Rattus norvegicus: one gene and its partners. The protein of the gene in region 3 interacts with the protein of the main gene of each other region in a pairwise test. Links are inferred from orthologs where the notes say so. Each region holds a gene or a part of one and is shown on either strand. Other genes may lie near its edges. The genes, in order: Obi1, Atxn1, Tceanc, Pnma1, Ssna1, Csrnp1 and Rad54b.

What was found.
Region 1: the proteins of Tceanc (region 3) and Obi1 interact in binary tests that used the Homo sapiens proteins (3 or more experiments, as listed by UniProt). The two-hybrid records come from large-scale screens. The link is inferred for Rattus norvegicus from reciprocal best matches to the Homo sapiens genes TCEANC and OBI1.
Region 2: the proteins of Tceanc (region 3) and Atxn1 interact in binary tests that used the Homo sapiens proteins (3 or more experiments, as listed by UniProt). The link is inferred for Rattus norvegicus from reciprocal best matches to the Homo sapiens genes TCEANC and ATXN1.
Region 4: the proteins of Tceanc (region 3) and Pnma1 interact in binary tests that used the Homo sapiens proteins (3 or more experiments, as listed by UniProt). The two-hybrid records come from large-scale screens. The link is inferred for Rattus norvegicus from reciprocal best matches to the Homo sapiens genes TCEANC and PNMA1.
Region 5: the proteins of Tceanc (region 3) and Ssna1 interact in binary tests that used the Homo sapiens proteins (3 or more experiments, as listed by UniProt). The two-hybrid records come from large-scale screens. The link is inferred for Rattus norvegicus from reciprocal best matches to the Homo sapiens genes TCEANC and SSNA1.
Region 6: the proteins of Tceanc (region 3) and Csrnp1 interact in binary tests that used the Homo sapiens proteins (3 or more experiments, as listed by UniProt). The two-hybrid records come from large-scale screens. The link is inferred for Rattus norvegicus from reciprocal best matches to the Homo sapiens genes TCEANC and CSRNP1.
Region 7: the proteins of Tceanc (region 3) and Rad54b interact in a two-hybrid assay, tested with the Homo sapiens proteins (2 studies listed by BioGRID). The two-hybrid records come from large-scale screens. The link is inferred for Rattus norvegicus from reciprocal best matches to the Homo sapiens genes TCEANC and RAD54B.

The regions. Positions count from the first base shown.
Region 1 is NC_086033.1:87,706,343-87,709,842, reverse strand, and holds part of Obi1 (ORC ubiquitin ligase 1), read left to right. Parts: intron 1-951; coding exon 952-1,043; intron 1,044-2,798; coding exon 2,799-3,047; intron 3,048-3,500. UniProt on the Homo sapiens protein: E3 ubiquitin ligase essential for DNA replication origin activation during S phase.
Region 2 is NC_086035.1:18,942,294-18,946,568, reverse strand, and holds the start of Atxn1 (ataxin-1), read right to left. Parts: upstream 2,801-4,275; 5' UTR 2,608-2,800; intron 2,551-2,607; exon of another isoform or gene 2,397-2,550; intron 1,460-2,396; exon of another isoform or gene 1,318-1,459; intron 1,282-1,317; exon of another isoform or gene 1,080-1,281; intron 920-1,079; exon of another isoform or gene 1-919. UniProt on the Homo sapiens protein: Chromatin-binding factor that repress Notch signaling in the absence of Notch intracellular domain by acting as a CBF1 corepressor. Binds to the HEY promoter and might assist, along with NCOR2, RBPJ-mediated repression. Binds RNA in vitro.
Region 3 is NC_086039.1:31,587,849-31,590,889, forward strand, and holds Tceanc (transcription elongation factor A N-terminal and central domain-containing protein), read left to right. Parts: upstream 1-1,464; coding exon 1,465-2,541; downstream 2,542-3,041.
Region 4 is NC_086024.1:109,512,882-109,516,604, reverse strand, and holds Pnma1 (paraneoplastic antigen Ma1 homolog), read left to right. Parts: upstream 1-1,437; 5' UTR 1,438-1,931; coding exon 1,932-2,993; 3' UTR 2,994-3,223; downstream 3,224-3,723.
Region 5 is NC_086021.1:28,482,607-28,485,716, reverse strand, and holds Ssna1 (microtubule nucleation factor SSNA1), read left to right. Parts: upstream 1-1,145; 5' UTR 1,146-1,251; coding exon 1,252-1,303; intron 1,304-1,476; coding exon 1,477-1,676; intron 1,677-2,039; coding exon 2,040-2,147; 3' UTR 2,148-2,610; downstream 2,611-3,110. Other genes in the region: Anapc2 (anaphase-promoting complex subunit 2), read right to left, coding at 67-689, 926-1,084. UniProt on the Homo sapiens protein: Microtubule-binding protein which stabilizes dynamic microtubules by slowing growth and shrinkage at both plus and minus ends and serves as a sensor of microtubule damage, protecting microtubules from the microtubule-severing enzyme SPAST.
Region 6 is NC_086026.1:128,585,670-128,589,940, forward strand, and holds the start of Csrnp1 (cysteine/serine-rich nuclear protein 1), read right to left. Parts: upstream 2,801-4,271; 5' UTR 2,731-2,800; intron 2,658-2,730; coding exon of another isoform or gene 2,618-2,657; coding exon 2,422-2,617; intron 1-2,421. UniProt on the Homo sapiens protein: Binds to the consensus sequence 5'-AGAGTG-3' and has transcriptional activator activity. May have a tumor-suppressor function. May play a role in apoptosis.
Region 7 is NC_086023.1:29,867,465-29,870,964, reverse strand, and holds part of Rad54b (fibrinogen silencer-binding protein), read right to left. Parts: intron 2,422-3,500; coding exon 2,227-2,421; intron 17-2,226; coding exon 1-16. UniProt on the Homo sapiens protein: Involved in DNA repair and mitotic recombination. May play an active role in recombination processes in concert with other members of the RAD52 epistasis group.

The DNA of each region.
Region 1 (3,500 bases), on a different chromosome or scaffold from region 3:
TTTTTGGTTTTTTTGGTTTGTTTTATTTTGGTTTGTTTGTTTGTTTGTTTGCTATAATCCTGCTAACTACAAAGGCAGTAAGCCCAGGATTAGTTCAGAACTCTCTGAAATAATTCATATTGAATGTGTTTCTTACAAGTCAGGGTACAAAGCTAATGCTGAGAGTCAGTCCATTGTAACTGGTCATCAAAACCTGTGACAGTTGTGTCACCAGTACCCAGACTTGTTCTTGTTTTAATTTCCTGGTTGGTGTGTGTGTGTGTACACACACACACCAATCTTGTATAGTCTGTTTAAATATAAATATAGTGATTGGCTTTCTTGTTTAACAGTTGTTTTTAGGTTTGCTATATTCAAGATTGGTAACTTAGCCCTACGTAGCCCTTTCTTCCATTGACTTTGTTATGCTGTGATGCAAGTGCAATATGTTTTCCTGAAGGTATTTCTTAGACTGCTGGCTAATGGAGTCTCCTCAGGGTTAAGGAAGGGAAAGGCCCAAATGACCCCAAAGTCCCTGTCTTTTGCACTCAATCAGGAATCTTTCTTTCCATTTCTATCACAGACAGACAATTCCCCCTAATTTTAGATCACTACAACTACTTATGAAGTTTTCTGAAACATATTGTCCACCTATGGCTACTTACAGACTCCTGTTTAATGTTTACTAAGGAAAAACAGAAGTGTAGCCCCTGAAGTAAAAGCAGAACACCCCGAGTCTGAATGTGCTGCTTCCGCTCCTGTTTGAAACTCCTCTCACGGCCTAATTTGGCATTAATGTTTTTAAACCTTAATTGGCTCCACATTATCTTTAACTGGACCAGCGCTCCAACCTCACTCGTGTAAACTTTATTTCTGGGGTTATCGGGGAAGCTTTGTAACACAGTATGAGAAAAGAAAAGGGCTGATGTCCATTGTGCCCAAACAAAGCCACAGTGAGATTTTCCTGTGCAGGAGGAACCAGTGAGAGCGAGCCCATGCTGAGCCACACTGTGAGAAGGCACCTGCGCAGGACCCGGCTGGAGTTGCTCCACAGGGAGTATGAGGTGAGTGTGCCCGCGCCGCCTTGCTCGAGGTCCCCTCAGGAGCTGGAGGTAGGGCTGCTCTAAGTGTCTGCACAGCGAGAGCCAAGAACTAGGAAACTGTGTGGGTCCCCTCAGGTCCTTTCTTGGGGGACTGGGTTGGCATCAGGGATTGTTTGGTTTTTGAGGGCCTTGTGATTCTCCTGCCTCTGCTCTCTAAGTGCTCAGATTACACACGTTCACCACCATGCCCGGTCTGAAGCCTGCAGTGCCAGTCTACACAGATTTGATTAATTCTCCCTTTTCTCTTTTAAATAGAGGAATGATTTTATTTAAGTAAAGAATGAGAGACTAGGATTTCAGAGAAAAGAAAGGAATGGAAAACTTTTTTCTTTCTTTTCTTTAGAATTAATTTTTAATTTATGCTTCTTGTCTTTGCGTATGTTTTGTTTGCATGTGTGCCTATGCACCAGTTGAGTACCAGGTGCTCAAGGCCAGGAGAGGGGGTTGTGTCCCCTGGAACTGGAGTTACAGCTTGTTGTGAGCTACCTCAGTTGCCTCAGACAGCTTTTTTTTCTGCTGGAGTATAAGTGATGGAGTAAATGTTCTTCCCTGCATGTGCTTTCCACAGTGACGAGTGTGTAAATGCATGCGTGTTTATTCACCACTGTATCAGTTTAAAGAGCACAGCTGCTTATGCTGGGTGGAGTGGCACACACCCTCAACTCCAGTGCTTGGGAGGAAGGCGCAGGCAGGTCTCTGGGAATCCCAGGTCTACCTACTGAGTTCAAGGACAGACAGGACTACAGAGAACACGGCGCTCTAGTTGTACGCCCCCTTTAATGGCACAATGGCAGCTGCATTTCAGCAGGAGATGGGGCGGGCATTCAGACAAGCCCTGACATTTGGAGTAACTTAGATTTTATTTTCTGATAGACTCTTTAAGTCTCAGATTAAGGTGCTGTGTTCATTATAGATGCATAAATGGTATTACACAGAAGAATCTATCCCAAATATTTGCAATTGCATTCAAGAACAGCAGCTCCAGAGTAGAATAGCAGATTTTGGAATAGCTCTGACTAGTGGTTGAAGACCCACTGTTGGTATTAATCTGGGATGAAAAGAGGAAGGATTTTATTTCTACTTCAGATATAGAAGCAAAAAGAAAAATATCAAACAAAATTCTGATTGACTCTTTTGACCAACACTTTAAAATTTCTCTCTATAAAGTAATTAACATGCTTGAAATGTTCCTTATGAATTGGAATCTACTTTTTATTGAAATTCATGTTTTTTCATAGTTTCTTGATGAAACCTTACACAAAATTAAAGGATTGTAACTTTTTTTTTTAAACCAGAGCTGTCTGTGAATTAAAATGTAAGCATTTTAAGTAAGTGTTGTGCCAATGTTTGTGAGGGTCAACATACATTTTAAGAATCTAAATTGAGGGGGCTGGAGAGATGGCTCAGTAGTTAAGAGCCCCGACTGCTCTTCCAGAGGTCCTGAGTTCAATTCCCAGCAACCACATGGTGGCTCACAACCATCTGTAATGGGATCGGATGCCCTCTTCTGGTGTGTCTGAAGACAGCTACAGTGTACTTATATATAATAAATGAATAAATCTTTAAAAAAATCTAAATTGAACAAAACTTTTACTATATATAAATCCCCATGTATTTATAAAAATTTGAGTGTAATAGTCAAGAACAAATCGAGTCTGGCTTAGCATGTACAAGCCATTCATCTGTATCTGATTATTGACTTCTGCACTTTTTTAGGATGAAATAGATTGTTTGCAGAAAGAGGTAGAAGAACTTAAAAGTAAAAATCTCAGCTTGGAGTCACAGATCAAGACCATTCTGGATCCTTTAGCCTTGATGCAGGGCAGTCAAAACGAAGACAAACATCCAATGGCCGATAATCCAAGTAAAATTGACCCAGAATCAGTAGTAGAATGGAAGAAAAAACTCAGAACAGCCAATGAAATATATGAAAAAGTTAAAGATGATGTGGATAAGTTAAAAGAGGTAAGTTGTAGTCTGGGGAGGGGAATCAATTGTGATTATTTTTAGTTCTATAATATTTTAAGCACTTTCACAAGTATAAATAGCCGCCTGACTCACCATTAGCTAGTTTGCGAGAGCAGGACTGAGCCGTGGGTAATTATTGGTATGCAGCAGGAGGACGGATTCTCGTTAGCTGTCATTAGCGGCCAGGAAGCATGGGGTGGATGCATCTGTGACTATAACTGCAGATACAGTAGTTGCCTCCACACCAAAGTGGAGGAGCTGTGTCTGTCGAAAGGACAGGGAGCTCCCCTTCTCTGTGCTCTCTGCCTTATGTGCATTAACAATCATGATCCATTACTACTTAGCAAAGAAACACGTGTTTGCTTGAGTTTTGAGGCAAGTTCTTACTATATAGCCCAGGCTTGTCTGGACCTAGATATGGAGCCCAAGCTGGCCTCAAACTAGCCACCC
Region 2 (4,275 bases), on a different chromosome or scaffold from region 3:
CACTTATTTGCAAAGCTGCTAAAATATTGACTGATGCGTGGCCAGTTAGAGGACAATCAGAGGAGATTAAATGCCACAGTTAAGCTGTTATGGTGCAATCCCTTTCCAAGAGGGCTTGTGCATGTTTTTCCTCTCTCTGGTGGCTACCTCTAGCTTCCGCTGGCATAAGCTTCATTCAAAAATAAAATAAAAATAAAAATAAAACCCTCGGCTATCAAACTGTCTCAGCTACCCACCCACCATCAATAAACCAGAGGTTTAGGCTTAACGAGGGCTTCTAGGAATGACAGGGCTCTTCAAAAAGCCACACAGAAATGGTTTAGCAAACACTCTTGCAAAAAGTAACCAGCTGTACCTAAAAATACCCAGCCTGTAACTACCTTGTTGCCTACGATCTATAGCAATGCTGTTTAAATATTAAGAAGAGCTCGCATTATAAAACAGAAATGTCACTGAGATGACACCACTAGATTGCTACAGGGAAACATAGGACATACACACATTCCCCTGCATGCCAGGCAGGATGTGAGGTGAGAGCTCTAAAGCATTACTTTTTCTTCTGTAGGTGGTGTGGGGTCTTCTAATTTTACTAATTGTATCCTGTGACTCTCTCTCTGACAAACTAAGAAATCTCTTCGGGGACAGAACCAGTTTGGAGGAGTTCCTACTGCACAACATACGGTAAACAAAATAAAAATAGCTTGCCTTTCTTGTTAGCCACATAGCGCATTATATAACCAGCTTCCGACTGGCTCTTTTTTTTTCCGCCCTTACTACTCTTCAACAATTTCCCAACCTTCCCAAGTATTTATATTACCCTCTTATCTGTAGGATTATACAGCAAGAAAGCAAAAACAAAACAGGACAGCCACGGGATCGAACTAAACCCTTTCGTCTTAGAACCCTGATTCTCCCACCCCGCCCCCCACCCCCACCCGGCGCCCCTGGTAGAGTCTAGACCAGCACCCTACTTCCACCCCCCACCACTAAGGTCCTTGCTCAATCTCTCTAGAAAACCTGAATTGTTTCACCGCTTGCAGTCAGCTCTCTACGTGGTCTGAAATAAAATGAAAGCTCACAAGCCACAGAGTTGAAGGAGGTGGCTAAAGAGAGGTCGAAGGGCTGCAGAGTCAGCTAAGGGACCACTGTGGACCCCACTCCCCATCGCGATGGTCCTGGCCCCCCGCCCGGCGCGCGAACACACGCGCACGCACACACACACACACACACACACACACACACACACACACACACACACACACACACGCACCTACACACTCACACGCACTTACTCCCTGCTCTCCGACCCCGCCTCACCTCTCGCTCCGCCCGTCCGGCCCCTTCCCTACCCCCTGCGGGACTGGCCTGCGCGCTCGGCTGCAACCACGTAGGAGGCGGCGGCGGCGGCGGCAGCCCGGGCAGTGGCGGCGTCTCGGGCCCCGAGTGAACGAGCCGCGGGGCTCCGGGGCACATCCCAATCCCCGCAGCGCCTCCTCCGCCGCCGCCTCCTCCTTCCCCTCCTCCCGTCTTCATTCACCCTCCCTGCCGCCGCGCAGGAGAGCAGTCCCGGCGCAGGGCAGCGCCCGCAGCTCCTCCGCTACTGCCGCGGGCGCCGGCAGGGACGCCGGGCCGAGCTGGGGCGCTCGCGGGCTCCCGGCTCCCGGCTCCCGGCTCCAGCTCCGGTGGCGGCGGCTGCCGCTGCTGCTGCTGCTGCTTTGGATCAGGAAGCGGCCGCACCAACAGGGCGGCGGTGGCGGCTGCAGCTAGGGCCGGTCCCTGTCGCCTCTCCCACTGCGCTGCGATGGCCCGCGTGCCCTTGCCCCCTGAGCCGCCACCTCTCCGCGCCCCCGAGCCTCCTGCAAGTCCCCTCTAGGTCCCCTCCTGGCCCCGAGACGCTGGCCTGGGCGGGGAGACCCCAAGCTCGGGGTTGCCTCTCTCAAGCTAGGCGACCCCGGGCGGGGAAGCCCAGCCCTCCCTCGAGCCCCCGCAGCGCTCGCCGCCCCCACTCGGGAGGGGGGCTGTTGAGGAGTGAAGAGGGCAGCGCGACCCTCCGCGGCTGCCGCCTCCCCCTACGCCACACGGAAGGAGGAGGACGGGGCTCTATGCGCTCGCCGCCGCCGGACCAGCAGCAGCCGGAGCGGGGCGCCGCCGTTCTCCCCACCCGCGCCCCCCGCCCGGGCGCGCCCCCTCTCCTGGCGGCCGCCCACCCAGCCCCTAGCTGCTCCCCTTGCTAGCCGCTCCTGCTCCCAGTGGGGGTCCCGAGCCGGGAGGCAGGAGCCGGGCACTGGTGTATGTACACAGTCACACATACACTCGCGCGCGCCTGCACACACACCACACACACACACACACACACACACACACACACACACACACACACACACACACACACACACCACGACGCGTCGGTTTCCTTCGCTCCTCTTCCAGCTGTTTTCCGTGCAGCCCATTGAGACTGGGGGAGGGGGGTTTTATGCTGGATGTTTCTTTGGCCCCCTCTCCGGAGAGAGCGGATTGGGGTGCGGGAGGAGGTGATTTTAATCTAAATCGGGGGGAGGGGGAGGGGGGAGAGAAAGAATCAGAGGAGGAAAAAAAATAGCCACTTACTGTAAAGTGTAAATGGATCTGGGGTTGCGTGGGGAAGGGGGAACAGAGGGAGAGACACAGTGTCCTGCGGCTGTTGTAGCTCTAGCTGCGGCTCCACGGGGCTTGTTTTGGATCCCCCTGCAGTGAAACAGGTCCTGTACGGCTCCTCCACTGTAGTAGAAATGATGTCTGCGGTATACTCTGCTCTCTCCTCCTCCTCCTCCTCCCCCCTCCCCTCCCTCCTCCCTCCGCCCGCCCTCCCTCCCTCGCGCTCTCTCTCGCGCTCGCTCGCTCGCTCCAGTATGTAAATGTGTAATAGAAGCCAAATATGGAGCAGTTGGCTGCCGCCGCCGCAGCTCAAGGATCCGACTTCATGGGGGGGGGGGGGGGGAGAGGCACCCTCTGGCAGGCGGCCCGGCGAGCCGCACAGAGCACGGCGAGCGCACGGCGCGGCTGCCGGCCCGCGCCCTTAACCCTTCTATGCACCCGGGCTGGGGCAGCGCTCGCTCCAGGGGAGGCCGGGTGTCTCTCCGCAACTGCGACTCCAGATCCCGGACACCGACCGGAGGGAACTGTGCCTTCCAGGTTTGAGAAAGGGGCGGGGAAGTTGGGGCGATGAGGTCATTGGAGTGGTGACCGATCGGTGCTCGCGCGCCTCCCCGGCTCCCTGCAACCTAGTTGGAGGGGGACAGGGTGAGTGCAGGGTGCAACTCAGGCAACCTGGGAGACTCAGAGCAACGGGTGTCAGGCTTTGACTCCCACCTGGTAAAATACCCAAGGGGGCGGGGAAGTCGGCTGATTCTAATTACGAAGCACCCAGGGTGCCCCTGGTGAGCATCTAAGAGGACTCTTTGTATCCCCGCGGTTAACTAGCCAGCCCGCCAGTCCTGAGCCACCCGATGCTAGGCCGGTGCCTTCTGCCTTGGCTTGCAACTCCGGAAAGTTCTCAGGCTTCCCCAGCTTGCACCGGCACCCTCACCTTTCCTGCCTGGACAAGCTGGCGACCTCCTGGGCCTCCTTTCAAATTCTGCTGGTCTAGAAATCTGCTATGAGCATCGAACGTCTCAGCTCTAGCCCTGGTAACCGAACTGCTGCTCACTCCTCACAGCTAACTGTGGACCATTCATCTCATCTCAAGTGAGGTAACCCGTGCACTGAGCAGTGGATGGTGGTTCTCGGGAATCCAAGGCGAAAGAACTTCCCACCTTGGCCCGGTGGCTAAACGCAGACGCGGAGTCCCCACCCGCCCCCTCCGGCTACACCTCAGCCGGGTGTGAGCTCCGTGGGAAGGAATCTTCTCCGGAGGAGTGCACCTTGCCAACAGGTGTGGCATCCGAAGGAAGAGCCCGCACCTCCCCAGGAGGGTCGCTCGGTGTGGCGATCTCTTTGCTGCAGATAATTCTTGAAGACCAGTAGGTGTCAGGCCAGCATCTGACCTCTTTCAGGTGCTTAAAACTAAGAGTCTGGAAACTTGATCCCTTGGTCTCGCTGGAAGCCACTACTATTGACTGTAGCTGGATTTGAGAGACCTTTTGGCTCAGTTTACGTAGGACCTAACAGTTAGTCACTATCTGAAGCAGCGTACAGAGTCACCGAGAGAAACGTGTGAGCTTTTAAACTACTGTATTGTGGAGCCCGCACTTCAGAAGTTAAAAAAGAAATGCCGTGTGTGTGTGTGTGTGTGTGTGT
Region 3 (3,041 bases):
CTCCAGTTCACTCTACCTGGGATGAGGCCCTAGCATTGCTTGATTTAGTTTTTGTTGACTTCCCTGGATGGTTCTGCTACACAGCCAGAAGTAAAAACTACCTGTGGTGATAACATGAAGCTATGTTTAGGGAGCTGTTGGAGCAAAGGCATACCTGTGAAATGGGGCCATGCCTGTGTGTGGTTGAGAGTGGTCAAGGCAGAGAGCCAGCCTGAGGTGTTATTCATCACTTCCACTCAGAGGCTCCATCCCATGGGTGGAGGGGATGGTCTCGGTCTGTCTGTCTCTTCTCTTCTCTTCTCTCTCTCTCTCTCTCTCTCTCTCTCTCTCTCTCTCTCTCTCTCTCTCTCACACACACACACACACACACACACAAGTTAATGAAGCCAAACTCTGCAAGGAAAACCATCTGTAACTCCAGTTCTAGGGGGCTCTGATACTTTCTTCTGGCTTCCACAGGTACTAGGTGGTACACATACATATAGACAGACAGGGAAAACATCCATACACATAAAATTACAAAAAAAAGAAAAGAATTTCCTTCAAAATTAATAAAGAAGACCCTATAATAGGAGAATTTCAAAAAAATACATATATATGGCATATGAATTTGTATAAAGGGAATGCTGGCATTATTTTTCACAACTTTTCTGTAAATCTAAAAGTATTTCCAAATAAAGAATAAGCAGGGCATCTGTATGTGACTCTGTTTTTCCAACAGCTCAAATGTCAGCACATTGAATCCTGTTGGATTTCAGGGTTCACTAGACCTGCTTCCCAACCTTTAATGCCCGTTTCTTTACATTGGTTCAGCCATTAACATCCCTCTTTTTTGTTTTGTTTCCTTTTTATACTAAAAAAGTACCACTACAAAGATTATAAAGCCATTAAGTATCTTAGTTCCTAGCTGATTATGAGAAGAAAATAGCTGAGTATTTGCTCAGCTTTGTCTTATGGAGGGATGCTCATGTGAACATGATTTTATACCCAAGATGATCATCACATTCTACCCAAGATTAGGCAGGGTCTCATGCATTCCAGACTAGCCTCAACTTTTCTGTGTGTGTCTAAAGATGGCAGTATATCCCTATTCCTGCTGACTCTACCCCACAAGTGCTAAGATTGCAAGCATATACCACCATGATAGCTTCCTGAATATTCTTAATCTAGATAGATACTGATTTGTACAGTTGGAGGTAGGAAAGTTATAGCTGATATTCTACAAAGTCTTTGAATGTTCTGCTTAAACTTTGCTGCGCCATTTTCCTTCTGTTGTTGAGAATAAAAGTCTTGAGAGTTGAGTAGTTCACATTACTGCGGTATCTACTTAGAGTACTCCTTCAGAAAACATCACATGAACAGCTGGCAGAAGTTCTAGTTTACTATTCAGCAGCTGCCGCTGGTAAAGGCAAGCTTAGAAAGATTGAACCATCTTTTTCTTTTTTTTTCTTTGCAGCTGTGAAAATGTCTGACAAGAACCAGATCATTGCCAGGGCTTCCTTGATTGAGCAACTGGTGTCTAAAAGGTATTTTGAGGATATTGGTAAACAGCTTACTGAGCTAGAAATGATTTATGTGTCTAAGGAGCATCTGCAGGAGACAGATGTGGTCAGAGCTGTTTACAGAGTCCTCAAAAACTGCCCATCAGTGACTTTAAAAAAGAAGGCCAAGTGTCTGCTGGCAAAGTGGAGAGGTTTCTATAAGAATACACACTTCAAAACAAGGGAAAGCCTTAAAGTACTCCATACAGATGTTAATAAGGAAGTAAGTGTTGCAGTTTCTCAGGATGAAAGCCAAGATGAGACACCAGGCTCTAGCCACAATGAGATATTGGGTCTCTGTAGTTCTCTCTCTAGGCTGTCACCCCAAGATGCTGCAAAGGCTGCTGCAGCATTTGGGTCTGAAAGTAGTGCTGCTCAAATGGAAATTAATGAAGGCTATTTGGAGGATGACTCTGAATCTCCGAGCAAGAGCTCAGGTGTGCTAGATAATCCCTTAGTGTCTGTGAGATCTAAGTGCATAGAACTTCTCTATAAAGCCTTAGCTAGTTCTTGCACAGATCACACAAAAGTTCACTTTTGGCAAAACTTAGCAAGACAAATTGAAGAGCACATTTTTACTCTTCATTCAAACGATATCAAAAAATATAAAAATAATATTCGAAGCAAAGTTGCCAATTTGAACAACCCCAGAAATTCTCATTTACAACAAAATTTGCTCTCTGGAACCATATCTGCAAGGGAATTTGCTGAAATGACTGTACTGGACATGGCAAACCAGGAGCTGAAGCAGTTGAGAGCTTCCTATATAGAATCCAGTATTCAGGAACATCACCTTCCCCAAATAGTTGATGGCACACACACAAATAAAATTAAGTGTAGGCGCTGTGATAAATACAACTGCACAGTCACTGTAATTGCCAGAGGAACACTTTTCCTTCCAAGTTGGGTGCAGAATTCAAACCCAGATGAACAAATGACCTATGTCATTTGTAATGAATGTGGGGAGCAGTGGTACCATAACGACTGGGTGTGCTTGTGATTTGTTAATAATCTTTTCAAGGACATATGTTTTAAATATAAAACATAACCTTCTGTGCTCGTTTTTCAACAAAATCTGAATCTTATTTTTGCCTTCGGGAGTTTGGTTTGTGAAAGACGTCAGTATATAGCCCAAGCTGGTCCATTCTCAGGAGTGCTTGCTTTACACCACACCTGCTTAATGCACTGTTCTTACTACAGTACTAAACCAAGGAGGGAGAGTTGTTTGCCAATGTGTAGGCCATAGAAGGCTATCACATTGTACTTTGTGGCCACTTAAGACTTGACTCAGAGTGGCACTGTGGCTCAACACAGCCTGAGAGCATGTTAGAGATGAAGACTCTTGCCTGGTGCTCCTTGAATCCTGATCTGTATTTTGGCAGAGTCTCCAAGTGATCCTCTGGGATACTTTGAGAATCACTGTGGTTCTCAGGAGTGACTATATATTAGAATTTTCTGAGAAGCATTGAAATGTACTGGTGCCAAGAGCCAAGCCCAGTG
Region 4 (3,723 bases), on a different chromosome or scaffold from region 3:
TGCCTATATTTAACTGCCTCAGTCACCTAACCTCTTTCTTCTCATGTGCCAGATGTTAAAGATGGAGGGGAAGAGTACAACACATACTCCAGCCTCAGCTGTTTAAGTGTTTTTATTGGGGCTCACTTTTCTGGGTTGTTATTTATTACTAGACTGGCAAAGCCTAAACCCTTAGGTTTTTACAGGAAGTATGCATATTTTTATAAAAAAAACAGTTGTGTCTAACCCACATTTGGCTGTGTTTGTTTCCTCAAAAAAAAAATTTGCAGCTGTTAGAGCTCTTCTTCATTTGTCTCTTAAATTAAAGGCCTTGTTGGAGAGGACAGCACAGAAACAGCCTTGACTGTAATTATTGTACAGATATTTTAATAGCATAAAGTAAGTATATTCCTTTTATTTTGAAACAAAATGGTCAGACACTGCCTTTCATGTGTTTGTTGCCTGTGGCACTCTTTTTAAAAAAGACTGTTACATATTAAATAGTGTACATATATATAAATATTACCTCTTTGTGTACAGTTGTGATAGACCAGACCGAAAATTTTATTTTTTGTGTGCTTTTTATAAAAAAAATTAATACACTAAAGAGAATCTTGCGGATGTGATTGTAATGTACCCATGTAACTTATTTACTTTTGAATGTTCTGTATCTTAAGACCTTTTATTAAATAAGGTTTTAAAAAAGTCATTGTTGAATGCCATGTTCTTATAGGGGTGTTTTTGCCAGCTGGGACTGACTGATAGGGAACTTCTCCCTTTCTGAGCCTTAAGCGGTCTGTTTTGCTATCCTGTATACTCAGTAAGGACAAGAAGTTTGCTTGGCTACAAAGAGAAGTAATCCGGTGGGGGGGAGGGTGTGCACACACACACAAACTTTAGGTTTTGACACACACACACACACACACACACACACACACACACACACACACAAATTTTGGACAAGAAAGCCAAGTCAGACACTCAAAGGAACCAGTAGGTGGAATCCTCTTTTCTAGTCTTATGGGGAGGAACGGAGAAGCTGCAGACTGTAATCTGGTGGTTCACGGAAGTCAGATTTAGTGTTTTCACAGCAGAGTGAATGCATAGAATGGATATGAGACAAGTCCGTCGTGGTAGATGCGTATCAATAAGGCCAACTTAAATCCACAGCAAAATTAAATAAAACAAAACATGCTTAGCAATATTGTTAAGGAGGAATCTGGGAAGTACGAGTATGGGGGAGGGGTAAAAAGAAATGCACCATCATAGAATAGACTACTCAAACCCCTTCTTGGCACCATAGCAACCGCCAGATCCTCTGGAGCCCGCGCATCTCGCGTCGTCATGGACACAGTTGTCACGGTGACACTGGGGGAGGCGAGCGGACCGGTTCCGCCCTCCAGTGCAGCTGCACGGAGGCCGTTGCTGGAGCGCGCGGCCATAAGCGCTGAGCAGAGCTGCCTCCAGCCCGGTTCCTCCCTCCTTCGCGCTTCCTGCCGCCTCAGTCCCCGGTGCTTCGAGTGCCGCCTCTCTCGGTGTAGCTGAGCCACGGCCTCGAGTAACCCTCGGCCGCCCGCGGGCCAGGGAGAGGTGGGAGGAGCTGCCACGCCCCGCGACCGCACCCAGTCATCTCCAGCCCGCAGCCAACCGCCTTGAGCCCACCTTCCTCCCCTTCTCAAAGCAGTGACGCAAGGCACAGCCGCAGCCAGTCCACTCCTGCCCGGACCAAAAGGGCGACATTCGAGTGATAGGCGGAGTGTCCCGTGGCACTGACTTGGGACCCGGAAGGGACCAGAAGGAACTCTGGTGTCTTTTGGTAATTGTGGTTGCTTGAAGCTTGTCGCCCCCTGGCCTACCGGGGGAGGAGAGCATGTTGTCCTAAGCCCAACAGCAGCACCGTGAGCCAGTCCAAGCACAGTCTGTAGAACTGGCACTCTTAATAGTTGGGCGAAATGGCTATGACACTATTGGAAGACTGGTGCAGGGGAATGGATGTGAACTCTCAGAGAGCTCTGTTGGTCTGGGGGATCCCTGTGAACTGTGATGAGACCGAAATCGAAGAGACCCTCCAAGCTGCGATGCCCCAGGTATCCTATCGAGTACTGGGGAGAATGTTCTGGAGGGAAGAAAATGCGAAAGCAGCCTTGTTAGAGCTCACTGGGACGGTGGATTACTCCCTGATCCCCAGGGAGATGCCAGGCAAAGGAGGGCTCTGGAAAGTAGTGTTTAAGCCCCCCACTTCCGACGCGGAGTTTTTGGAAAGGCTGCACCTCTTTCTAGCTAGGGAAGGGTGGACGGTGCAAGATGTTGCTCGTGTGCTTGGGTTTCAGAACCCTGCTCCAGCCCCAGGCCCGGAAATGCCAGCAGAGATGCTCAACTATATTTTGGATAATGTTATTCAACCTCTTGTTGAGTCCATATGGTATAAGAAGCTGACTTTGTTCTCCGGGAGGGACATTCCCGGGCCTGGCGAGGAGACCTTTGATTCCTGGCTGGAGCACTCGAATGAAGTCATAGAGGAATGGCAGGTGTCTGATATAGAAAAGAGACGGCGGTTGATGGAGAGTTTGCGAGGCCCGGCTGCCGATGTCATTCGCATCCTCAAGACCAACAACCCTGCTATAACCACGGCAGAATGCCTGAAGGCTCTTGAGCAGGTGTTTGGGAGCGTGGAGAGCTCTAGAGATGCACAGGTCAGATTTCTGAACACTTACCAAAACCCAGGAGAAAAGTTATCTTCTTACGTTATCCGTCTGGAGCCTCTGCTGCAAAAGGTAGTGGACAAGGGGGCCATTGATAAAGATAACGTGAACCAGGCTCGCCTGGAACAGGTCATCGCTGGGGCCAACCACAGCGGGGCCCTCCGAAGGCAGTTGTGGCTGACTGGGGCTACAGAAGGGCCTGCACCCAACCTCTTCCAGTTACTGGTGCAGATTCGAGAGGAGGAAGCCAAAGAGGAGGAGGAGGAGGCCGAGGCTGCCCTTTTGCAGCTAGGCCTAGAGGGGCACTTCTGAATCCCAGGACTGGCCAGGCTGCTTTTGATATTCCTGTGAAGTTTTAGTAAGCCTGTCCCTTAAAGTAAACAGCCAGCCTCCTCCTGCCTTTGTTTTGTTTTCTGAGGAATGGGATGAGAAAGTCAGGCCCGCATATTCCTGTAGCATTCACAGAATTGTGTAATTAGCAGGAGTAAAGGCGGTTCATAGTGCTACAGTGATGCCAGCCCTCCTGGTGACATCTCTGACAGCTGTGAGAAACATGAAGCTGCGATCCTTCCTGTCACGATGTTTGTGAAACTGCAAGTTCTGATGCTAAGTACATGCCCGGTTCACAGGCTGTACACTACAAACTCTTGTATTTATTTGTTACTAACACTGTGGACAGCTTTACTGTAAATTGTTGCTAATTTGTATCCATGGAAAGAATGCGACTTTTAGATATTACTCATCTTGAAAATGCAGATTTCTAATTCCTCGTGGCTCAACACTGGAATCAGTTTCCCTGAAAAGTATCCCCAGATTAGAAGTGGCGGGTTAGAAAGATGTGTTTTTATAGAGTGCACAATAAATCCTTCACAGTGGAAGATACAGATGTAAGTCATAGGGGGAATGGCCCTGGACAAGCTACACTTCCTCACTTCAAATATTTGTCATTATTGGTCATATTGATGCTAAGGGTTCTAAGTTTGAAGTTATTGAATAGATGGATACAAAAAAAATTTGAAAATTCTCTTTTTTCCTGACATGC
Region 5 (3,110 bases), on a different chromosome or scaffold from region 3:
AGTTTATTAGCTCTATTCAGAGATCTTTTTAAAGAAACTGAGGCATGGCCAGGAAGCAGTACTTACAGGACCTGGCTGAGCTGGTTGAACTGCTCCAGGGCCTGCCGGCACCAGCACTGCTGCTTGTCACTGCCACATCCTGCACACAGAGGGCTCTGCAAAAGTCGGTAGTACCTGCGGCGGGCATACCGGCTGTCCAGCTCTCCCTCTAGTTCTGGATCTGTGCCCCCTTCTCCTTTTCTCTTGCTCTGCATATAGACTCTCAGGAAACGACCATAGAGGCGCTGGACCATCTCCTGGAATGTCCTAGGGGTGGAAAAAAACAGGACTCCCCGCAACATAGTGTGAACTTTCTCCCGAAGACCCTGAGCTCCAGCGCCCATCAGCAAGCCCAGACGAGTCCATTTCTCTAGGAGTTCTAGGCTATGCAGATAGGGATCCAAGCGGCTTTCCAGCAGACCGAACGCATCCAGGAGCAGCACAAGGCATTGGGGTTCATCGACAGAGTTTTCGCGAAGGGAGATGGCATTCCAGAACTCCGTGGCAATGTTGCCTTGAAGGTCATTCTGCAGCACTTCCACGAACCACTCCTCCAGGACAGAGTGCAGACCGTGGGCCCTCAGAACTTCTACCGCTGCACGAAGCTCTTCCTCCTTTGGTGGAACTGCACCGCTGGTCCGGGAAGATGCCTGGAGCACGGAAAACCGTGAGCAGAGGGGCGGAACAGGGGTAAAAGGAGAGGAGGGGTGTGGAAAAAAACAGCAGCCGAAGGGCTGCCAGGAAACCAAACAAATCAGATAGCTGAGGAAGGAGGCAAGCCCACTACGGGCAGAGCACGGGAGCTATGAGGACCCAAGGATGGACTCCCTAAAGGACAAAGTCGTGGCAACTCTGCACAGGCCCGCCAACCTTTCCCCGGCCTCACCAGCCCCAGCGCAGCCGGCGGCACCAGACCGGTGCTCACAGTATTCCAGGCAACCACGAGCTCCTGTCCAGGCCTAGAGTCGCAGTCATCCGTGGCGACAATTGTCGTTGTCGCCGCCGCCGCCGCCGCCACCGATACCGCCACACCCTCGGCCTCCATCACTGTCCACAAAACAGACCCGCCCAGCGTAGCGCACGGTGATGACGCAAGCGCGGGCTGTGGCGCAGTCGTGACGTTCGCTTGCTCGCGCGCGCTGTGTAGGCAGTGCGCAGGCGCGGGCTTGGCGGTGCAGGCGGCGGTTGAGGCTTACGGACGCGGTGCCGACCATGACCCAACAGGGCGCGGCGCTGCAGAACTACAACAACGAGTTGGTCAAGTGTGAGCGTCGGGCGCTGAAGGCCGCGGGGCCGGGGGCCGGCCAACCCACACACTCGGGAGGCTGCGTCGACATGCCTCACGAGCTCCGCTCTGCGGCCTCCCCTCTGTCGTGCTGGTCGGGGTCCGAAGTTCACGAGCCCCAACCTACAGCTCTGTCTTCCCGCCCACCCTAGGCATCGAAGAGTTGTGTCAGAAACGAGAGGAGCTGTGCCGGCAGATCCAGCAGGAGGAGGACGAAAAGCAGCGGCTACAGAATGAGGTGAGGCAGCTCACGGAGAAATTGGCCCGCGTCAACGAGAACCTGGCGCGCAAGATCGCCTCTCGCAACGAGTTTGACCGGACCATTGCGGAGACAGAGGCCGCCTACCTCAAGGTGGGGCTCTCAGATATGCGTTGTCAGTGCCTCACTACCATCTGAGGCTAGGTAGGGCCCATTGTGGTTCAGAGGCTGTAGGCCGGACAGTGGGCTGTTTGTGGGATCCAAGAGAGTGAGCAGTGGTGTGCTGGACAGAGTACCATAGTGGTGGGTGAACTAACTCAGCCTGGCTTTGCAGGGTGGAAGAGCTCTGGGACAGGTGCAGGAGGGAGGATAATTTTATTGCCCCCACCATCCTCCATAACCCGTTGACTCAGCACAGATGGCCAGACTGAGATTCCCATCCTCCACTATCAGAGGCTGAGGCAGTGGGAATCTTCTTACCAGAGAAATAACATCCTTCTATTTCTCTGGCCCCAGATCCTGGAGAGCTCTCAGACTCTGCTTAGTGTACTCAAAAGAGAAGCTGGGAACCTGACTAAAGCCACGGCTTCAGACCAGAAGAGTAGTGGAGGCAAAGACAGCTGACAAGCCCTGTCTCAGCCGTGGCCTATGGCTGCTCCCCAACATGTCTGTCCTAAAGCATCTTTGTTCTCCATGGCCTCAGATGTCTTTTATCTCTGGTGCCCTGAGTGTCAATTTCTGACCTCCACCTGCCTTGAGTGACAAGACAAGCCCCAGGACAGTCCAATGGAAGATGTGTTCCCAGCTCCGCACTCACATGTGTTATTGGAACCTTGAGCTCCTGGTCAGCTCCATGAGGAGCCTCTTTCTGAAGCTCCTGTATCTCCTTGGGCTGCCAGGAATGTCTCGGTCCTAGTCCAGGTACTGTGGGAGCCCCTCACTTTGTCTCCTCAGCCACTAGGGCCCCAGGCCAGGCATATTGAAGAAAGAATCTTGGCTCCAGAACCAAAACCTTAGGGCCCATCCCCATGACCTCTGGTGTTTCAATAAAGGTTGTTTTGCAAGATCTGTGGCATGGCCTGCCAGCTACCATGTGTCCTGTTGGTAGGAGGAAGACCTGCAGCTTTTCCCTGACTCTCCTATCTTCAGAGCACAGAGCTAAAAGTTCTCACCTCACTCAGGTCAGCCCTAGCCTGGAACTTTCCTTGAAAAGCTGCTGCTGATATTTCCCCAAGTTCAGCACACAAACTACTATTCTGTGAGGGGCTTTGCTGTACAATGGTACTCAATACAGAGCCTGGCTCAGAGATAGAGACAGGGACAGTTCATCTCTCAGTACAAAGTTCTGTTTGGTCCAATACACTGCTGCTGCCAGGACCCATCTCCCAACCACATTGTTGCTTACTTCCTGTTTCCATGTGCCCTATGACCCAGCCCTTTGCACAGCTTCTGGGGAAGTTTGGAAGTATTTGTTGACCAAGAAGATCCAGAAAACAGCTGTGGTAGTTTTCACCTATCATCCCTTCGTTGAGGAAGAAGCCTTAAGTTCAAGGCTATTCAAGTGAGCATAGTAAACTGTAAACCAGT
Region 6 (4,271 bases), on a different chromosome or scaffold from region 3:
GCCAACCCGGGCTTATCATCTACCAGACCAGAGAACTGCATTCAAAGAGGAAGCATCTTGCTATCATGACCATGAATTTATAAATCCTTTGTACAGTTTTCTTTCATTTTAATTCTTTACATGTAGCAAAGACAATATAATCCCCTGTTTAAATGTATAACAAAGAACTGGAGAAATGACTCGCAGTTAAGAGCCCTGGTGCCCATAGGAGAGGTCGCAGCCAAGGAACTCAGTTTCAGGAGATCTAACGCCCTCTTCTGGCCTGCTCAGGTATAACATGCATGTGGTACATGGATATACAGGCAAAATACTCATACACTATAGACATACATTATAGACCTTTTCCTTTATACTTTAAATGTTCCGCAACAGACCCAGAATGTGTCTGTCTATCTGTCTGTCTGTCTCCCTCTCTGAAATTATTGATTATATGGATAACAAGTTGTAGGACCTGGTTCTCCCACCATGTGGGTTTGAACTCAGGAACCCAACATCAGGCTTGGCCGAGAGCACCTTTACATGTTGAGCCACCCCAGTGGCATTAATTGTTGTTGTTGTTTCCAAACTTATTTTTGTACATGATTCCCCCCCCCCCCCAAGACAGGGTTTCTCTGTGTAGCCTCTGCTGTTCTGGAACTAACTCTGTAGACCAGGCTGGCCTTGAACTCAGAGATCTGCCCACCTCTGCCTCCTGAGTGCTGGGATTAAAGGCCATGTGCCACCACTGCCCAGGCTCAAATTTACTAAGTGCGTGTGCGAGTGTATGTCACCTGGGTGTGGGTGCTCTTGAAGTTCAGAAAGTGCCAGATCCCAAGTACTAGGAGCTACAGGTGGTTGTCAGTGATCTGATGTGGGTGAGAAGGACCAAACTCAGGTCCTCTGCAAGAGCAGGATTCTCCGGTGCCATCTTGGCCCGTGTTTACGTTCTCTTGAGACAGGGTCTCACTGTATAACACAGACTGTCCTAGAACTTGATACGTAGACCAGATTGGCCTTGACCCACCAGGTTTTGTCTCTCAAGAACTGGAATTAAAGGCATACATCATCATTTATCTCAAGATGGCTAGGACTGGTTCTATAGCAGGAGACACTGAGTCCCTAGCCCTTCCCCAGTACTGGGAATATAGGTGTTTGCCACTATGCTGAGTGACTTCAAGTTAACATATTAACTTTGTACTCAACTACCTGAGGAAATTCCTTCTACAAGGTTTTCTGTTTGTAATATTAGGTTCCAGGCATTAACAAAATCACACTTGTTTCAAAAAAAAAGTGTAACACACAGGTATGCATATAAGACATGAACAGAACAGTTATGGTTTCAAAACTTCACAGGGAGATGTGCTTAAAAACATTCCCCTTGTAGGGGAAAACTGTTTAAAATGGTTCTTGAAGTAGAAAGAGCTTGTTGAAAATCAAAGGCTGTCTTTTTTTTTTTTTTAAGATTTATTATTTATTTTATGCATGTTGAGTACTCTGTTGCTGTCTTCAGACACACCAGAAGAGGGCATCAGATCCCATTACAGATGGTTGTGAGCCACCATGTGGTTGCTGGGATTTGAACTCAGGACCTCTGGAAGAGCAGCCAGTGCCCTTAACCATTGAGTCATCTCTCCAGCCCCAAAGGCTGTTTTTACATTATAAAGACAAGGCAGGTTTGTACAATATTTAGAAATATATTTCTATATATTTATGTAACAATAATAAAAAAGAGACCATGAGTTGGAAAGAGGGTAAGGACAGATATATGGGAAGGTTTAGAGGGAAGGATAGGGGAAATGGTGTAATTATAATTTCAAAAATAAAAAAACCCTTTTTTAAAGAGAATCACTTTCAGTTTGAAATCAAAATTATACAAGCTTGAAAGATAACTAGGAAGTCAGCCATGATGGAGCGGAGCGCATCCGTAACCCCTGTACTCCGGAGGCAGATGCCATGCGGTTGGAAGAGAGAGTCTTTTTTTTTTTTTAACTTAAAATAAGATAAGATAAAGGGTGAAAAGAAAACTATTCAGGAAAAACCCTTTTGGGGACATTCGGGGGGGAAAAAAGCTAAAAAGCAAGGAAGAGGGAAGTGGCCTAGCAGGCCAGTGTACAGTGTTCGTGGGGTGTGTGAGGAGAAGGATGAGCCCCAGCGGGCTTCCTGGAAGGGGCAGGTATGTTGGGAAACAGAGATGCAACACCCCTGGAAAGGCCCCAGAGCCACTCAGGGAACAACATCTCCGACAGCACAACCCCCACAGTCAACAGGAAGTCAAAGTGCCTCTGCAGAGTGGGACAGTCATAAGACTTCACAGAAGGAGGTACCCTGAGGGGGCTATGGAGGCCAAAAAGGCCAATTACAGCCTTAGGGAAGGAAGAAGCAGGGGGTGGGGGCTAGGGGTGGGGGGTGCGTGGTAGGGGGTGCCCAGGACAGGAGACTCACGCATTAAACTCTGGATGCCACTGGAGTCCTGATCAGGCTGGGGTGGCTGATCACCCAGTCCCTCCTCCTCAGAGGTCCAGGCAGGGGAGGCAGAAGAGCTGGGAGGAGAGGGAGAGAGATCGCCAGAGGACAAGGAGGAGGAGCTGCAGTCGTCCTCTTCCAGCTGGTCAAACTTCCTCTTCTGTATCCCAGCCATGGTGGGATGTAGGGGTTCCAAGCAGCTGAGGACAGACGGCCTGGAATGAAGAGGATGGAACTGTTCCGTGGTAGGCTCCCAGCCTAGCCATGTTTTCTCCACCCGCAACTTACCTTCCAGGGTATCTCCCAGACTCTGAACCCTCCAGCCCGGGTTCATGGTAGTGTCTCCAGTACAGTCTCCAGCCCCAAATGAGTCTAACATGAGCCCCTCCCTCAAATGAGTCTAACATGCAAATCCAAATCCCAGGGACTTTGGCCTCCCAAGACCTGGCCCCTTGATAACAAGTCTTCTATGGAAAACAGCCAGGTACCTTCCCCATTGCCACCTACACACACACACACACACACACACACACACACACACTCGAGCACACACACGCACACACACGCCAGCAGGCAGACAGACCAACAGATGGACTGACAGAACTCTGGCCTGGCTCATCTTCACAGGAACCCTGGAGGCTGACTCACAGGCGCTCAGATCTTTGTGCACTTGCCTGTGCAGGGCCTTCTGCAATCTCCAGAGGCCCCCTCTAAGGGCAGCGCTCCTCTCTGACCACACAGGTCCACCGCCTTGCTGACTGACAGCTTCGGGTCCACACTCCTGGGCCAGGCTGGGCAGGAGCTCTGAGAATGGGCGCTGGTTTTGATGTTGGCTCCATTCCCAGCAGAAGGACTTTCCCAAGCTCCTCCCCCCTAGATGGAGCTTAGATTTTCCCTCAGAAACCCCCATGCCACAGGAGAAAAGTCCCCTGCTCTAGGCTGGACTGTGGGAAGACTTGACTTTGATCTTAAACTCACCTCCAATATCTAACCTCTATGGTTAATTCTCCTTAGAACAAAGCAGAACCTCAGAGTGAAACTGACTAGGAAGGTGGCTCTCCACTCTCCTGTTTCCCTTGCTCGTTTGTAGCTTCTCTGGACACCCCCACCCCCCCAGGATGCAATCACTCACCAGTCAGGCTCCTTCCCTAACCCTCCAGTGCTTGGACAAGTAACAGTCTTTCCAGGACTTGGGGACCCTCAGAGGGTTCAAGGATGGTGGCTGAGTGCAGCTACCTGCCGTGAGGCTGGCTTGAGTCTGTGGTACTCACTCATTCAGGGTTGAATGCCCACAGCTGGGACCCTTCCCCCACCATCATCACGGGAAGTGAAAGAGGCAGGGAAACCAAGCAGAAAGCTGTCTGGGTCTCCTCCACTGAGGTAGCCTGAGGTCCCCTCTCCTAGTCCAAGCCTCTGGCAGGTCCTAAATCCGAGGGCACCAGCTACAACTCCCTGGATAAAAGCACTCATGGGAGAGTGACAGCCATCTCCTCCAGGCAGACATGGGAGAGGCTCAAGAAAAATCTTACTACCAGGCCAGCCCCCCCCCCGGGGGGGGGGGAGGCCAAGCAGGTGTTTCCGGGGCAGTTTCTCAGGCTAGGTTACCAGGCTTCCCAGTGTCAAACCACAAACACAAACAGCCCAGTTAACCTGTAGACTCTCCCAGGATGAGGGTGTTTGGTCGTGAACCAGGCACCACACACACGTGCACAAGCACTCTTACCACAGACACACTCTTACACACAAGTTGACAGGTAGCCCCTAAACATCCTGTCACCACTGCAGCCTAATGCATGGGGGGTGGGGGAGATGGAGGGAAAAAAAAGACA
Region 7 (3,500 bases), on a different chromosome or scaffold from region 3:
AATTTATATCCAATGCCTTTAAGAAAAACAGAAACAATTAATTGTACTGACATTCTAAGAAAACTTATTAATAAAATAGCCACCTTTCCATGACTGTACAAAATAAACATTATGCACTGCATATAAATTACATATAAATTTCATCAGACAGAAACACAATTTATCATTCTGATTTTTTTAAAAAAAGCCAGAAAATAGCTCAACATGCCAGGTGAGCGAGCCTAATGACTCAAGTTTAATTCCCAAAACTAAAAAGCCAAATGTACCCCGAATGGAGGAGTTAGAGAAAGGACTGAAGGAGCTGAAGGTGTTTGCAACCCATAGGAAGAACATCAACCAACCAGACCCCCAAAGCTCCCAGGGATTAAACCACCAACCAAAGAGCACACATGGAGGGACCCATGGCTCCAACTGCATGTAGCAGAGGACGGCATTGTCTGGTACCAATAGGAGGAGAGGCCCTTGGTCCTGTGAAGCTTGTTTCCCCAGTGTAGGGGATGCCAGGGCACTGAGGTGGGAGGGGGTGAGTGGGAATAGGAGCATCCTCATAGAAGCAGGGGGAGTGGGGAGGGATTATGGGTGAGGGGGAAAGGGGAATAACATTTGAAATATAAATACATAAAATATCCAAGAAAAATAAAATTAAAAAAATAAATAAAAAGCTAAATATTTTTTAATTCAGTAGTGTCTATAATATCAGCACTTTTTATAAGATTTATTATTTACTTATATATAAACAATATATGCACCTATGTAGGTGCTGGAAAGTCAACTGAGGTCAAGGGAAGAGCAATATGTACTTTTTAACTAAGAAGTAACTCTCTCACACCCACTTCCCAGCACTCCTATGGTAAGATGAAAAATCTGGAACAGGAGAATTGCTTGAAAGTTCTAGGGCAAGCTAGCCCAGAGTTTGCCAACTCCCAAAAGTTGTCTTCTAACCTCCCTCCACACATACATACACCACTGCACATGTGTGGTCTCCCCCATACACACAAAAGAGATAAATAAATAAGTAGATAAGTTTTTTAAAGTATTTAAGAAATTAACCCAACTGAGACAACACCCCCCACCTCCCCCCAAACCCATTCCTACTCCACCTCTGCCCCCTAACCATGCTATAAGTCATGGAGGGGTAGAAGACACCCAGAGGCCCCAGGTACCAGAGGTGGGAAAATCAGAGGTGGAGGGAAACAGAAGCAAAATGATATGTGCACAATGCAGACAGAAAGAAGGGGCTGGGGATGCAAGGGTGGTGAGGAACACCCTGAGGCCATGGTGGGGTCCTGGCCTACTGCCGAGGGCCATGTCTGGATCCACAGCCTGCAGCAGCAGGGGTCTGTGTCCATATCCACTGCCCATGTTACCAAAGGTCACACAGATGACTGTGGCCGAGGTGTCGCCTGTGACCCAGTTGATGTTGGAGGGCTGAACACAGCTGGCCCTCCCTGGTTGCAGCAATGGAAAAGCTGGCCCTGTCACATTCCAGCTAGCAGGAATTCTCACTGAAACAGTTATCTCACCACTTCCAACTATCAGTTACAGTAACTTCTCCTAACAAAGCTATAAATTATTCTTACTTTGAATCTTTAGTCCTAGGAGCTAGCATATAAGCTGAAAATTAAACAAACTATAAACTATATCCTTACGTGAGTGAACGAATATATACAAAAGATTTTATAGTCTGGCCAAACTCAAAACTAAACAATAGAGGACAAAATAAAAACACTCATGTGACACACTCTGGACCTGCAGACTGCTCTGTACTAGGACACGTTACTCTGAAACAATGGCACCCTCCAACTTAGCTGTGTGGATCTCCTTATTCTGTATTTGAAATTTTTATTGAGTAGTACTGAAACTGGACAGCACTAAATGTCTACTAATGGCCACTCTTAACAATTTCAATCACTTAGCACTGGGGGAGGGGATGACCAAGACAAACGCCTCAGTCTCAGAAGAGTGCTAAGACCGCTAAGGCTGGTGGGCTCCCTTCAGAGAAAACTGGACAGAATGTACCCTAATGGACTAGCATAGCTCATAAGAGTATTTGGGTCACTATTATGAAAAACATTATGTATCATACAAAGTTGAGGCACAACATTCAATTAAATAACATCTCAATCTGTCCCTTTATCAAGCCCAACTGTGTTTCAATTGTACGGCACCAAAAATATACTAATATTTTGACCAAATCATAAATACGAATAACATATATCATAATACCTCTTCCAATATCTTTTCCTTCCATATCTTTCAATATGAACGACCTTCCTTTTACAATAAGAATAGCATCGCCTTCCCATTTCTTGTGTTTTTTCTTTGAAGCTTTACACCAAACGACACTGAAATATTTAAGCAAGCTGCTAGCTTCCTCTTCTTGTGCCTTGGACTCTATGATTTCTTTAGAGGCCAAGTGAACTGAAATAAAAAGGAAATTTAAAACATTATTATTGGGGATGACTAATTTCTAAGTATCAAGCTCATTCAAACAAAAGCAAATCGGCACACCAATACCACGGCATGGGTTCCACCAGCAATCCCAGAATGCTGGCGGTAGGGGCAAGAGGATCAGTTCAAGGTCACACCTATGCTGTCTGAAGAGTCTGTCTATAATAATAACAACAATAATGACTATATGCACAAGGAAATCAGAATGCATTAAGAAAGAATATAAAAGTATCTGGGTCAGTGGGCCGGTTCAGGGAGTAAAGGCGCCCACTGTTAAGCCTGACAAGTGGTTTGGTCCCAGGAACACACGTGGTAGGAGAGAATCAACTCAGTATGTGACATGTTCATTTTGGTATTTAAGAAACTGAGCAGTCGACATACTGGGTGCAAGCATTATCATGAGTGTAATGAGTGCAATGCTCTGTCACCCATAAGCTACACACATTCAACTGAAATAGTGTAACATATCACTGTAAAAACCTTGGGACCTTAGAAATTAAAGCTACTATTCCAATGTCTAGAAATATGTAAAATTATATTTTAATGACTGCTTTAATTAACATGGCAAGCTGAGTAAAAAATATGCTTACAGAGTTTTTTCTTTTTTTCAGATTAAAAAGTTCTATTTTTCCTTCATTTATTTTATTTGACAAATTTATACATATCGTGTTGTACAACTTAAACATTATGTCTTAACTGACACCTCCCCCATATCCCACCCCATCCCCTCCCTGGTGGCTGCCATGTTCTGCCTTTCACTTAACATTTATAGATATTACATACAAATGAAATCCTACAGTTGCTTATTTCACTTACATAATATCCTCCATATTCTGTGTGGCCACAAATTATAAAACTTTGTTTGTTTTTCAAGAAAGAGTTTCTCTGAATAGCCCTAGCTATCCTAGAACTTACTTTGTAGACCAGGCTGGCCTTGATCTCTCAGAGATCTACCTGCCTCTGTCTCTCAAGTGCTGGGATTAAGGCATGTGTCACCACCATGGCTAGCATATCCATTATTTCTAACCAATGCAATTTTGCTAACTCAA